Lonchura striata: one gene and its partner. The protein of the gene in region 2 purifies or fractionates together with the protein of the main gene of each other region. This does not show direct contact. Links are inferred from orthologs where the notes say so. Each region holds a gene or a part of one and is shown on either strand. Other genes may lie near its edges.

What was found.
Region 1: the proteins of NEDD1 (region 2) and mitotic-spindle organizing protein 2B purify together in Homo sapiens (affinity purification with mass spectrometry; 3 studies listed by BioGRID and IntAct, with this or other methods). This does not show direct contact. The link is inferred for Lonchura striata from reciprocal best matches to the Homo sapiens genes NEDD1 and MZT2B.

Annotation. Positions count from the first base shown.
Region 1 is NC_134613.1:7,856,332-7,864,001, reverse strand, and holds the start of mitotic-spindle organizing protein 2B, read right to left. Parts: upstream 3,017-7,670; 5' UTR 2,984-3,016; coding exon 2,838-2,983; intron 2,749-2,837; coding exon 2,612-2,748; intron 1-2,611. UniProt on the Homo sapiens protein: Required for the recruitment and the assembly of the gamma-tubulin ring complex (gTuRC) at the centrosome.
Region 2 is NC_134607.1:54,833,411-54,841,420, reverse strand, and holds the start of NEDD1 (protein NEDD1), read right to left. Parts: upstream 3,081-8,010; 5' UTR 2,987-3,080; intron 2,846-2,986; exon of another isoform or gene 2,824-2,845; intron 1,995-2,823; 5' UTR 1,987-1,994; coding exon 1,851-1,986; intron 4-1,850; coding exon 1-3. UniProt on the Homo sapiens protein: Required for mitosis progression. Promotes the nucleation of microtubules from the spindle.

The DNA.
Region 1 (7,670 bases), on a different chromosome or scaffold from region 2:
AAGCCAAACTAATACCAGAAATATTTACCACAAACAACACCATCTTTCCCTGAACCTCACTACACTTTCCCTTTGGTTTCAAGGGCTTGTCCCAGAGAACTCCAGGATATTAACGTGTCCATGTTAAAGGGATACTACAAAGAGAAAAGCCTGGCTGGACACATTAGAACTGAAATCTGAGTCAGACCAGGAGATGCTCTACTAAAGATGCAGAAAGAGCACCAAATTAAGCTCTCAAGACAACTACTAACTCCTGCAGTCTCAGCCTCTCGAAGATGCCTGCAGCAGGGTAGTAGAAGGCAACAATTAAGCACATACCAACTCTACCTGAGGGCTTCTGGCTTTCCCTCTCAAGAAATTTAATGCTGATTAAAAATCAAGTGGCCATTGGCCTGTCTCACACCCTGAGCGAGCCCACTACTAGCTAAAATTAGCTCATAGCAGTAGCTCAGTGCTAGGAAAAGAAAAGCCTCACTTGTCCAGAAAGTGCCCCTTAAAGAGCATAGATAAGAGAACAAAAGCTGCTCCACATTACAGACATACAGGAACAAAAACCTCGCCAACATTCCCTTCGCAGTTAGAGTAGCCTGTAACAGATGGGGCAGCAACAGAGGAGTCAGAGCAAAATTTAACAGCATCCTTTGCTCAAAATCTCTGCTCTTTTGGGATATTTCCTCTTAATGGGGTACCAGAATAGCTCACTGCTTCACACTTGACAAAAATCCAAGTGCTGCACCTCTCCCATTTTGTTTAGGAAATAGTACTCAGGTGTCTGTCCTCTCTTGCCCCTGTGCATATTCAGAGTCACTTCTCAGTCACATGTGAGGTTGTTCTCTTCAGCACAACCACCTCCTCTACAGAGAATTCTGAACCTCCTGAGAAAGGGAAACCTGTTCATGGCGAGTCCAAGGAGCTCTGGACACTTTATCCACACACTCTGCCTGAGCTTCAGCAAACTTCCCGAGTTCCCCTCAGCTGCTCAGAGAGGGGATTCACCTTGAACTTTGCCATTATAAAAGCACCAGATTGTGGCATAACTCCTTTATCCCAAAAGTGACTGCTTTTCAAATTAAACCCCCTCTCAACTTCACTTTCGACATGACTTGCAAGCACAGCCAAGAGAATAAACGTGCCCAACCACCAACCACTGCCCCTGTCTGACACACTTTTGAGCACAAGAGAAATAAACTTTTCCACTGTGAATCCAGGCTTAGTGACAGCAGACTTATTTTAGTTACTTATTTTTAAACCTTTTGGAAGTAATCCACAGAGTTGGTGAGCAAAAAGTCACTTCAGGGAGTAAATGGAAATTTTATTAGAACTGGTTATGAATAAAATAAAATTATATATATATATATATATATATATATATATATATATATATATATATGGCACAAATTCAGGGCTATGGTTTTTACTGTTCACGGACATTATAGTATTAAGGAGAGATAAATGCATTCAAAAGCAGTAACTGCTTTATCTGACAGTCCCCCATAGCCTTCTACTTCATCTCCCCACACAAATTCCATCGCTGGAGGATGGAAACAGCTGGATGAGTGTTAGAAGCCACCACGAACATGGGGGGATAGAGTAAAGGAAGCAATACAGCTCTCTTCCTTTTCCAGGGATTCCTCATGGCCCGGAAACTTTAACTTTTCAAAAGTCATATACAAACAAGCCCGAAAACTTTTAACTTTTTAAAAGTTATATACAAACAAAGCAGTACTGAATATTACTGTAGATTAAAGTGGTTTTCTCCTGTTAAGGGCTTGGCGAGCAGAGCCAGGAGGCTACAAAACGCAGCACAAGTACTGCAGCAGCCTCCCCAGAGCTCCCACGCTGCCTAAAACCCACGAGCACTAAGACAGACGGGGCTGGGGCCGGGCCGGGGCTCGCACGGAGCGGGCTCCCCGGGCTTGGGCTCGCACGGAGCGGGCCCCCCGGGCCGGGGCTCACACGGAGCGGGCTCCCCGGGCTTGGGCTCACACGGAGCGGGCCCCCCGGGCTTGGGCTCACACGGAGCGGGCTCCCCGGGCCGGGGCTCGCACGGAGCGGGCCCCCCGGGCCGGGGCTCGCACGGAGCGGGCCCCCCGGGCCGGGGCTCGCACGGAGCGGGCTCCCCGGGCCGGGGCTCGCACGGAGCGGGCCCCCCGGGCCGGGGCTCACACGGAGCGGGCCCCCCGGGCTTGGGCTCGCACGGAGCGGGCCCCCCGGGCTTGGGCTCACACGGAGCGGGCCCCCCGGGCCGGGGCTCGCACGGAGCGGGCCCCCCGGGCCGGGGCTCGCACGGAGCGGGCTCCCCGGGCCGGGGCTCGCACGGAGCGGGCCCCCCGGGCCGGGGCTCGCACGGAGCGAGCCCCCCGGGCTTGGGCTCGCACGGAGCGAGCCCCCCGGGCTTGGGCTCACACGGAGCGGGCCCCCCGGGCCGGGGCGCCGCCGGGGCCGGGCCGGGCGGCCCGCGGGCCCCTTCCCGCGGCGGCCCGGGCGCGGGACAGCGGCGGGCGCGCCCCGGGCCGCGGCGGGCGCAGCGCGGGGCCGGCGGCCGGCGGGCTCCGGCCGCGCTCGGGGCGGGCCCGCCCCGGGGAAGGGCCCCGCCCGCCCCGCCCCGTACCTCGGCTGTCGGCGGGCATCGGCGCGGCGGGGCCGCTCTCGGCGGCGGGCGGGAGCCGCTGCCCGGCACACATCGACTTCAGCACCTGGAACACGGCGAGCGGCGCCACGTTCATGCGGAGCAGGTCCAGCAACACCCTGCGAGGGGAACACCGGCAGCGGGAGCGCCTGTCAGACGGGGATCCGGCGTCACCGCCGGCTCCCGCGGCGGCGCCCCCACCGCTCACCGGAACACCTCCGGGTCCAGCCCGCTGCCCGCCGCCTGCGCCAGTTCGAACAGCTCCGCCTCCTCCGCGCTCAGCAGCTGCTTCCGCCGCAGCCGCGTCTCCGCCATCGGCGCCGGGGCCGCCATTGTCGCCGGTCCCTCCGACATGGCTGCGCGGTCCCGCCCCTGGCGGCCCCGCCCGTCACACCGGGCCGCGCCCCCTCGCAACGGGCCACGCCCCTCACACCGGGACACGCCCCCTCACACCGGGACACGCCCCCTCACACCGGGACACGCCCCCTCACACCGGGCCACGCCCCCTCACACCGGGCCACGCCCCTCACACCGGGCCGCGCCCCCTCACACCGGGACACGCCCCCTCACACCGGGACACGCCCCTCACACCGGGCCGCGCCCCCTCACACCGGGACACGCCCCCTCACACCGGGACACGCCCCTCACACCGGGCCGCGCCCCCTCAGTGTTCGGCAGTGGCTCAGTCCCCGCCGCTCCGGGCCTGTTGCTCCTGGCGCGGCCGGCAGGTGGCAGCAGCGCTCCAGCCGCGCCCCCGGCCGCGGGCCCCTGCCTGGAGCGGCCGCAGCGCCCGCGGGGTGACGGCGTGAGGTGAGAGGGGTGCGGTGTGTGAGGAGAGACGTGCGGTGTGCGGCGTGAGTTGTGAGGTGAGAGGGGTGAGGTGTGCACCGTGCGGTGTGAGGTGTACGGTGTGCAGTGCCCGGTGCCCGCTGTGCAGTGCCCCGTATCCGCCCCGCTGCCCCCCACGCGGTCTCCCCGCAGGCGCCTCCGCTCCAGGGCAGGGCAGAACCCAGCGGGATCCGCTGAGCACGAAGGGCAGTGCAGCAGTTTGGGGTGCGGAGGTGCCATGGGGACCCGCGGAGCTACAGAGCCCACGTCCTCACCCCAGCTGTCCCCTGGGCCGGGCGCCAGCTCCCTTGAACACGCTGCAGGCCCTGAGCCCAGAGAGCATCTGGGCATCATGCGGGAAAAAGCAGGAAATTTGGGTCTTGAGTCGCACCGTGGCGAAGAGCTGGCAAACTGAGATTGAAATCCCTCCTATCTAAATGGAAATGATCTGTTGCCATCAGGGAAGGATGGTCCAGCCCAGCACACACAGGCCCTGCAGCTGCGCTGTTAATGGGGAACAGAGCAGAGGGGTCACTGTGTCCCCCCAGCATTGCCATGACAGACCCCATCCCATCCCTACACCAAGCCACAGCAGACAGATGCTCCCACTCCACATCCCAAGCAACCTGTGAGTCTGTCAGGGTGCCCCAACCTTGTGACTTGATGGCCAGGCTGACAAACAGACATTTATGGCAGAAGCCAAGACAGGAATGACATGGATAATGATAGAAGGATCTTGCTCTTTATGGCCCAAAGCAGGACCAGCCCAGCAAGAACAATTATTGCTGTGTTTTGAGTGGGAGCAGCTGCTCCAGCATGAGTGACTGCACTGTCTGTGGGGTTGCCAATGCTGAAGCCACAGAGCCTAAGGTTGTCCCAACAGCTGGACTTTCAGAGGGACCCTCAGCTGAGCAGGGAGTGTAGAGTCTGTGATACAGGGGGACTGAAAAACACCCCTGTGCTTGATCTCTTGCCTGTTCTGGTATATGATGTGCCACTTCCTTTGGGACAGGCTGGTAGTCGAGTGCAAATGCCAAGCGCCCTCATTGTGTGGGTGATGCAGTCTCCAGACTTGGTCCCACATGGACAACCTCCCTCAGCCTGTGGCATGTGAGAGCTCAGCTACACCTCACAGCAGAAGAAAGTGAGATGCTTTTCAGCTCAGCCCTTCTCTTGGAACAAAACAAAACAAAACAAAAACAAACAAACAAAAAACAAAAAAAAACCCCCAACAAAACCAAAACCAAAAAAAAAAAAAAAAAGAGAGAGAGAAAACCAGGAACTGCCTTCTGTACAACAAACTGGAGAAGTTTCAGCATGTACCTCCCTCCTTCCCTGTCCATCTGTTCCAGCTGGCAGCTCTCCCTGTGTGCTGTGGTCACCAGCACAGGGCTGGAGACCTTCCCAGGGCAAAGGACAGGAGACTCTGTCCCTCACATGCTTCCTTCATAGGTCACAGCTGTGTCACACCTTCCCCGCATCTCGGTGTAAGCCTGGATGGGCCTAGTCTGCAACGTGGAGTGACAACCTTCTCCTCTGGACTTCAAGGTTTTCTCTGAAGCATTCCTGGGGGCTCCGTTATCTCAGTTTCTCCCTTTTGCTCTCCCAGTCCAACAGGTCAGTAGAGGAAGTCCTTGGGAAACTCCCCTGAGGAGGCCTCAGTTACTGGAGCTGCACTCTGGGTGGCACAGGGGACTCTGGCTTAAATGACACTGAGGAGGACCCTGGGTCTTGCAGCCCACCAGACACTCTCCATTGCCTCTGGCAGGACTTTAAAGCCCAACCACCACTCAGTCCATGGTTTCCAGAGCAGGATGAGCCAGGACAGCCCGGGATGCTGATGCCAGGCTGCATCTCAGCCCTTGCAGAACATGTTTAAGAGAGGGGCTGAGCAGATGGGGGCAAAGGAGGCTCCAACAGCCTGCATGAGCAGAAGGAAAAGAGAGCTAGGAGCAGCAGAGAGCCTGCAATCCTTGGAGTGAGTTACCAGAAAGAACTGCGGGTTGCTCAGACATGGCCCTAAATGGAGGCAAAGCGATGCTGAGCCTTCCCTGGGCACCAGGACACGCTGTGCACGGCCAGGGGAGCACACCAGGGCCAGGCTGTGCCTTGCAGAGGTAACTGCAGCGGGAGAAAGACTGGTGGTTGTGCAGGTCATCAAGCTGAGTGGGACAGGAAGGACAGAATGACTGAGGTACAATCACTGGCTGAGGACACACTGTCAGTGCATGAGATGAGGGTCAGCATGACACCAGGGAGGGAAGGAGCAAGGTCACCTCCCTATGAAAGAAGGGCCAGGCTTAAGAAAACCTGGATATGGTTCAAATCTCAAACAAATGCAGCAAATGTGCCTACCACATCCAGAAAATGGAAAAGAGGGATTCAAATGTATCTGGACTTTTCTATCTTTCTGAGGTTTTTTTGAAGGAAACCAGCTCCCAGATAGAAAAGCAAATGCAAACAGAATTTATCACAGATACATTGTTTCAGGATAAGGTAATGATTTATCTTTGATAATTAACTTTGACAAGGTGATGCAGAGCATTGTAGTAGAATGTGTCCCTGCCCATGAGAGAGGGCTGGAACAAGATGAGCTTTAAGGTGTCCTCCAACCCAAACCATTTTATGATTCTACGCTTTTATGATAATTTAGCCTGGTTACATTTAAGGAAGAAGTTTGATTTGCACCCAGTATGATGCAGTTTCCAATGCTGAAGTCATGGGTATGGATTTAACACGAGGAACCAGATAACCAAGTAAAACGCTGGGCTATGTTAAAGGGATGTCTCTGAGCAGCTTCCAGCACTGCTCCCCACCTCAGTTTTGGGATGCCCCCACTGATGTTAACAGCAAGAAGTGTAGGGCTGGTAGTGTAGAATCATCATGCCTGGGATGTTTTGGGGAGGGACACAGCCACACCACTAGCAAGGCACTAGGATGGTCTCACCTGGAAGATCATGGAATCCTAGGTTTGGGTCAGAAGGTCACCTAGTCCAACGTCCTATTGTGAGCAGGGACATCTTTACTTCGATCAGGTTGCTCCAAGCCCTGTCCAACCTGGCCTTGAACGTTTCCACACATAGGACTTCCACCACCTCTCTGAGCAACCTGCCTCAGGGTTTTACCACCCACACTGTAAAATACTTCTTGTATCTAATCTAAATCAGTGTTCCTTTTAGCTTAAACAATTTCCCCTTCTATGAGCCTGAGCATGGTGGTTTGAAGACAGGCCTGCAAAACTGTGCATGAAAAATGACAGAACTACTCAGAGGTGTAGACTCAAAATTAGGTGGAGGCATCCAAGCAGAGACATCTTAGGACAATTTCCAAACATGACACCAGGAGCAAGTAAGTGGTTTGGAAGGATGTTGGGAACCATTCTGAAGGGACTGAGTGACAGAATTCTCCAAGTCAGAAGTTGAAACTTGTCCTTTTGGGTCAAATATTTGGTCTTTAGGTAAAGATTAGAGTAGGCATTCAGCTGGGACATGTCTGTGCCACTGCACATGTGTGCTATGTATGTGCTACCCTGAACATTCCACTAGCAGCCTGAAGGCATCAGGAGCAAATTTCTCTCCTTTGCTCTAAACTTTGGCAGCTGAGCTGTTATCTGATCCTCCTGTAGATTGCTGTGGTTGGAGGCAAAACACAGCACACAGCATTCTCAGGGATACCCAAGTAACTTAAGCATCCCTGCTAGGGCTGGGATTTCAAACTAATCACTAGGCTTGGGCTTCAAGGAACTTCTCCAGGCCAGAGGGGCAGGAAGGGGGCATGGATAACACGGTGAGGGTTTAACTCAGTCCCACAAGGATCAGTTACTGGTTCTCTCCAACCTCTGAAGTACTAAGGAGCCTTGATGACCTGTGCTGGGATGGGTGATGCAAGGCTTGGCACTAGCCAAAGGGTTTAATTAGGGACAGAATTCAGTGAACACCCCACCTCCCCAGGTGGTCAGACTCCAATTCTGCCCTGTATCAGCCTTTTGTCCTTCTTGGTTGCCTCCATCCTGCAAAACTACATGTTTTCATAGAGTCATAGAATGGTGTTGGAAAGGACCTTAAAGCTCATCTTGTTCCAATCCCCTGCCATGGGCAGAGACACTTTCCACTCTCCCAGGCTGCTGCAAGTCCCATCCATCCTGGCCTGGAACACTTCAAAGGATGGGGCAGCCACAGCTTCTCTGGGCAACCTGTGCCAGAGCCTCACCACC
Region 2 (8,010 bases):
TATCTTTGTCACAAGTTAAGGAACATAATTGTAGGATACTGGTGATTAATACAAGCAACAGGAAGTTTCCCTTATTGAACAGAAGACAGATTGGCTACACAGTCTAAAGCACTGGACCTTGGAGGGACCTAGAAACAGAAACATAAGGCCATTTTCCAAGCTTTCATTAAGAAGCTCTTAAATTAACTACAGCCCTTACTTGCCAATACAAGACAGACAGCAATTTCTTTGATAGAAAAGACGAGAAAAATCTGCCAGGTATTATTTAAGAGCTCTTTACCACTAAGGCAGCTTATCCAGTCTACAATTCTGTTTCCCCACACCCCCAAGTATGAGCACCATTTATCACTAGTTCAAAGGAGTGTCTGTGGCTGTTAGCAGACTATGGATTTAAAGAATGGTCCTGGTCATGACAAATGTCAGACTACTTCACTACACAGTTTCTAGAGTACAAAGAGCAGTTGCCGGTTTCCCCGACTCTGTACTGAGAGAAGAAAAACAAAATCCCAAAAATAACCTGTTATGAATCCAAGTACTCCAAAGTAATAAGAACATTTATAGAATTACAGAGCAGGAAAACTGCATCTCCACCATCACCAAACAAACTGAGTAATCAGTCTTCTGGCCAATGCCCATTGTGACTTTGCATTAGCTCATTAAAGAATAACACAGGTTAATTGGCTGGATTTAACACAACAGAACCAGTAGGCAGAGTAGTGTTTGCTATTGCTGTCACTATTTTACGGCACGTTTGTATAATTTTACATAACTATGCGTAACCAGAACTAATGCTTTATCCTTAACAAGCTAACAAATATTCAGTGTTGGGAGATGAAGAGGAGACTTGATTAAAGCATGTTAAGACAGACTGTAGATAAAAGTTTACTAAACACATACTAGTGTGTATGCATACACATGAAAACATTACATCTGTGCTTCAAATTCTCTGCAAGCTCCATAGCTAAAACATTCATTTGTGTTCCAATTGGTGTAACCTTTTATTCTCATACGTTAACTTTGAGGACAGACATTCAGAACTTGCAGGACTCGTATGCTGTGTGCCAGCATCCTGGCCTCCTACGTCAAGATGAGACACCACCACCTTCTCCTGTGACAGCCACACAAGTCATTTACCTGACAGCCCACTGAAAGTTCTCATATCTTCATCTACCACTTGGCCCCTCGTATCATTATCCAAGACTTCCTTGGCTTCCAAGTCAGAGGTGAAAGACCTAAATGGGTCAGATCCATTTTGATGACAAACCACCACCACCCAGTGAATGTTTTCCTACACAACAATAGGTTTGTGTTTCCTCTCAAAATGCTTACAAAGAATAGAAAGAAAACCAGTGCTTAGAGGTAAATGAACACTATCAATGATTGTCAGAATCAACGAGAAGCTGTCCTATGGAAAAAAAAAAAATAATTATAATTTTCCTCACTATACTATGTATAGAATTTTACTACACCAGCAGTTGCTTTGCTCAAGCTTGTCAGTTAATTAGGCACCATCTTGAAAGCAAACATCATAATCAACTACTGAAGAAACAAATGTGTAAGGTTTACAGTTGGCAGGCAATTCAGGCACATTACAGCCATTAAAAAAGTGTGGGTTCCCGAGCTAAGAAACTTCTTCAGAATTATTTACCATCATGATCTCATTCTGTAAATCTCTTCAGCACAAGGAACCACAAAACTTTGGTCAAAACAGATACCAATATTTTTATGCAAGACTTCAAAATACATCAGGCCTGTGTTTTACAAACATTTCTGTAAAAAAAGGAAAGAAAAAGAAACAGTGGAATTTTGCAGAACACCCACAGAAATATGGCTGAAACTGTAAAGGATACTATTGCTGGCCCAGCACAGTGAACTGACTGGATGTGAGGGCGTATGTGGGTTGAACTGTTCCACCACAGTGAAAGATGAAGAATCCCATATTTTAATATCATCTCCTGATGATGCAAAACGTATGCCTTCTTGCATGGCTGCACCTGTTTTGGCAGAAATAAATTAATAAGTGAAAATACATAAAACTAAAAAATCAACCAGGCAACCTAACAATTCAAAATTACAATTTTAAAAGATACAGTTAAAGTTTTCTTGATAACTGCACCATTTATTTTGAGTTAAACAGTTAGTACCGTTCAGCTGCACACACAAACGAAAGCATCAGACACTCCAAGTTTTTGCTACTTAAACTCCGGAAGGAAACGCGTGGTTTCTTTCTCACAAAGCCAGGCCCTCTACGGCATGAAGAGACTAAAATGAAGCCTTTATCTCCACAGCTCACAGCTGCCTACCAGGAAGCCCTGAGTATCTGAAGGGCCCATTTCCCACCAGCAGATGGGGATATACAAACCAGAATCAAACTGTTGCAGGGCAAGGCGGGCAGTGCGGACCTAAAGGACTCACTTCAGCGTTCATCTCACTACTCCAAAGACATCCGAGAATCCTTTAAACTAAACCTTTGACAGCAGAATACAAGCGACAGCGAGTCACCTTACATCGCACCTTACAAAACATTACGAACCAAAAAGGCCAAGAGCATTGTACTGCTACTTATTTTGAGTGACACCTTTTAAGACTTCAAGCCAGGTTAACCGGTGCCTGGTTTGAAGCGCTGACTCTCAGCTTTTTACTCCTGATAATTTTAAACTATCAACAGACGAGGACTATAAACGTGAGCTTTCCCTTCAGCTGAGAACACAAACGCCCCTTGGCCAAAGCTTGCGGGACGCTTCACACAGCTTTAGGCCATTCATTCTTACTGCCGGGACTGTTAACACTCAAAACTGCACAAGAAGTTCAGGGTCCACATACGCCTTCAGTGGGCAGCAGCCCGCGGGGCCGCGCTGCCGCCTCACACAGAGCTCGCCTCCCGCCGCGGAGGCCGCGGGAGGAGCCGCCCGGCGCACCCCGCCCCTCGCCACCGCCCGGCCCCGGCCCCGGCCCGCTCCCGCGCTCTCCCCGCGGCACCGCGCACCTGGCCGGGCGGGCACCGGGCCGAGCCCGCGCTGCTCGCCCCGAGGCCCGGCCCAGCGCCGCCTGAGGGACGGGCCCGGCCCGGCTCCGGCTCCGCCCGCCCCGCCGGGCCCGGCTTGCCGCGCCGCGCCCGAGTTCACGCGCCCCGTCCCGGCAGCCCCCGCGCGCCGCTGCCCGCGCTACGGCGGCGCGGAGGGGCCGCGCGCGGGCGGGGCGGGGCGGGGCGGGCAGGGCGGGGGCCCGGCAGCGGCTGAAGGGCGGGGCGCGGGCCGCGCTGAGAACCCGCCGGAGCGGGCTGAGGGGCGCCGCCTCTGCCGCGTTTGGAGATTCCAGCGCTGAGCAAAAGGCGTCCGGCTGCATCTGGGGTCTCCGCACATCTGGGACACCGGGACATCACGGCGACAGAGCGCAATAAATGATAGCAGTTAATGCATCACTCCTGTAACAGCGAGTAATAGAGAACTGCGGCGTCTGTGTCCTGACTTGCAATAGAACTGTTACCCTGGTCATGCTGAAATTTACAGGAGGAGGGACTTTGTTGTTATTTTCATCCGGTAAAATAAAAGGTAGCAGTGCTTCGCGGTGATACATGTTTGCACTCCTGCTTTCTACCCCAAAACACAACAACATATACTAAATTCAAAGATATATTCCACGTGGAACTTTAACAAAATTTTCTGTAGAGATCTGCCTTTGAGCGAGGCTTCACCCTGTGTACCCTCAGAGCCAGTCGAGCTGAAATGCCTGATTTACTTTCCTTTTCTGATGGAGTCTTGATTTTCCAAGTTCATTTAATATCTAGTCTCTGGAAATGCACTCAGAATCAGGAGAAAATAAATCATGGCACTGTTACAAAAAATGCCATTATTTCCCTACAGCATTGAGGATCATGTCTTTATTGCATCTATTAATCCTCATTAACCAATCATTAGTTATAATTTATATCTTCAACCACCTGCCTTCTCAGCTGAGTGTTAAGGGATCCACAGCATTCCTGCAAGTTTTCTACTCTCGCTCCATTTTAGAGTCCTAATTTGCTACTAAACCTGTCATGTTTCACTTCTGAGCCCAGCACTTGTTATTCCATTCTAGCTTCAGTACAGAGAGAATCTAAAGCCTTTTCTTTACCACAGCCATATCCTTTGGCTTTTTTTCCTTATCTCCTCACAGTGGAGCATAATTGTTTTTACAGACAGATAGGAGAGCACCTGCCTGACAAGCCCTGAAGCCTTGAACAATTAACAATTTGGGGGATTTTAAGTAAACACGATCAGCATGTTTTCCTTCATTCTGTAACAGGCCCTCAGTTAAATCAATTTTTCCTGCTGGCAGGACCTTTGCTGGCATTTTTTTTATGCCAGTGCCTGTGCTGTGCTTGTTCTTGGTATTTGCAAGGAACCACTGGGACACGTTGGTGCATTCCATTTGTGGAAAGGATCACAGCTCTAAGCCCAACCATTAAAGCCAAAGTGGTGTTATTGCTGAAAGGCCATCGGTGCAAGGCAGAGCATTCCCAGCAATTGTGCAAGGCTGTAAAAGCAGTGGGAGTGTGAGCAATACACAGGTGAAGAGAGACAAAAATAGTTTATATAATATTTTAACTGTATTATTACGACTATTATTATTACAACTTTTTCCACATAGAAATATTCTTTCTTTTCCCGTAATAATTAGACCTGGATAACAATTCTTGGATTAGGCTAAGATTTCAATTATGCTAATACATTTTGCCTTTAAACATACATAGGTTTCCTCTTTGCCCATAAAAAAGTTTTTCATTGTAGAGGCAGTGACATTAGGTTCTGAAGGATAAGCCACAGAGTTCCAGGGAATAAGAGCAGTCAGGACACTAGGGAAAAAAAGACATTAATTTCTTTATGGTTATAATAATTTTTTAGAGTGGTTTGGAAACCACTTAAAAGTTGGTATTATCCCATTTGGTAGTGGAACCATAGGAATGTGATAATGGGATAGAGATAACTAATACATTATATGATGATAAAATATATACAGTAATTTCATATGATAGACAGGATCTTGACTTTCTCTGCTAGCTCTGCTGTATAGTAGCTGTATGATGCCAGAATTCACAGGGAATGAAGAAATCATCACTGCCAAAAAGCAAGGAGCTTTGCCTAGGGCATTGAAATTTTTAGGTGGTTGCTGAAATGTACTTTTCAACTCTGAATGTCTGGCCAGGAGCTAAACCAGCCCTGTAGGTGCTCTGTGTTTTCAGAGACTTTCACCCTCCACACAGAACTATAGGGCTGGCTCAGTCAGCTCATGATTATTTTGTAGGTAGCGCATCTGGTTCCACACCGAGTTTTGGTGCCATTTGCTTCAGCACAGCCTTTCTTTTTTTTCTTTGCACATTAAGTAGAATCCTAAATCATGCTGAGATGGTAGATAAATGAGAATAATTCTAATTAGCTCTGGGGTTTCAAAGTAGAAAATTAAATTGCAGTGGTAAATATTTGACTTCAGCACTTGCCTCTGGACCCTTTCACCCACTCTGTTTAAAAGATTAACCTATGCTTCATATTTTCACTTTTCTCATTTAATGATGTTCTCAGTATCTTTAACTCAAAGAAAACCTTTGGCAAGCATAAATGCATCTCTCTGCTGGTTTAATTAGTTCAGCATATTAGCCAACAATTAATTCTAACTCCATCATTATTCTTTTAAAGAATCTTCCTTCTCGGATTTCACTGAAATGGACTGGAAACAAATGATTGTTCCATTACAGTGTGTCTCAACTGAATAATAATATAAATAGCCTTCCTCTTTCATTCAAGGATCTGAAAATATTTTCCAAATGTTGTTGCAGAAAACTTAAAATCCCTCACTGATGAGGGGATTACTGTTATCTTCAGATAAAGAAACTGAGGCATAGTGAGGGTAATTACTAGGATTATTTTGTTAGATTGATGTCATCCAGAAAATGAATATATACTTTGGACAACAAAAAATTGTGAATTGTAGCAGAGCTGTAGTGGAATTTAAAAACCAGTCACATGCAATTGGATAAATCTGTGTGAAATTACTGATTTCCACATCATAAAATTAATTTAACCAGAAATAATTTCAAGTTACTGTATATTTGTAGGCATGAGAAATCCTGTGAATGCCTTGAATGTAGAACATCTTTCAAGGCACCAATATAATTTAAAACTATATTGAAAGAGTATTTGAAAACTGAAATATTCTAAAATCCATTCAGACCTTTCACTGTTAAGCTCCCTGTTCAAATTCAATTTGAGGTCCAGCATGCTCTTGATGATAAAATTTTTAATTACAGGACCAGAAGCTGTTTTTTTTCTCAGTGTTTTTGCTTCATTCAGTTCACATAACAGAAAATACTGAAATATTTTTAAAACCCCAAACACCTCCTTTTACTATAGGTCTTTCTTGTCCCACACTTGATGGGATGGACTGAAGATAAAATGTCATTGTTTTCAGAATCTTTCAATTTCTCCCCAAAGTGTGCTTTCTCTCTATTTTTTTTTCTCTCTCTCTTCCCTTGCCCCATCCCTCGATTTATTAGATAGAGAAGCACTATCCATTCCTTCCACAGATGTAGAATGGAGAAATATTTCAGTTAAAATTTGAAAATAATTGGTAAACATGCCAGGGGTTCAAAGCTGTCAATAGTAGCTCTTTGGCATTGTTGTATGGGGCAGATCATAGAGAGGAACTTCCCATAGCAGGAAGATCTTCCCTTACAAAGTGAAATCTTCCTTCCTCCTCTTCCTTTTTAATTTTGGAAACAGTGACACAAGTAGATTCTATACAAATCTAATTCAGCATGGTGTTGACACAAATCTATTGTGCTTTCACATATTGAAGGCTTTAGTCTCCATTTACTGCTAAGGACAAAAACCTCACCCAACTACTGCAATACATAACCAAGAAACAATTTGCTTTGCAATTGCTTTTATACTTTTTTTTTCTGTGTGATTACTGGAGACATTCAGGTATGAGCTTCCCTCCCTACAAGCAGTTTTTAACTAAAGAGTTTAATTATATGCTAAAAGAAAAATGTTTTCTCCAATGTTTCTTCTAAAACCTGCATTGAATATTTTATCTTGTGTTTATAAGAATAAAATCTGCTGCTATGGATACAGTGAGGTCAACATTTTAATGTTATTATTTCACTGTGCTGTGTGTTAAAGGATAATATTCTTCTTTAAAACAAAAATCTCAGAAAATATGTATTATAGGAAAGTAAGTATAGTAATGTATTTTAAATGAATAGGTAAAGGCTTTTATTTAATATTTCTCTTTCAAGTATAGGAAATATAACAAGGTCCAAACAGGCAGCACTGAAAAAACACATTGTCTGTAATAGAACTTCTCTTCCATTTTCACCTGATGCTATAGCATGTTTTACAAATATTAATTAAGCTGTATAAAAGTCCTAAGATAATCCTCAAGGTGACCCCCCCCCCAAAAAAAAAAAAAAAAAGATAGATTTTTAGTTTGTTCAAAACACAACAAAAGACAGAACACCTTGTTGGTTTGTTTTGTAAAAGCTGTAATTTCCTACTTGTTCCTTGTAAAAGAAAAATGAGTAATGTCAATTTTTATCTTTCTTGCTTTTTGAAAAACTGCAGAATAATAAATTATTTTAACGAAAGAATAATGCTAAGGAGTGTCTCCTCCAAACTGGCTGTTAGGCAGTCAAGTTAAATAAACATACTAACTCAGTTTTTAAATTGTCTTGCAAAAATAACTGCCCTATCAATTACTCACTTTTCCCTTTCTTTACACCACTGTATCATTATCCTTCTAATTTTCCTACTACCTACAGCATTCCAGAAAAGTGTACACAAAATAAAAAACAGCTCACCTTTTAAACAGCTACACATAATGCAAATACATCCAGTCTTCTTTTTTTTTTATAGGACCAAAGAGAAATAGGAGAGAACTTTTTTTCCCTTTCTTCCTGCACTGATCACATTTAGGATACTCATTATTCAGAATTTTACCTCTCTCTCCCTCTTCCTCCCAAAAAGAAACTCAACC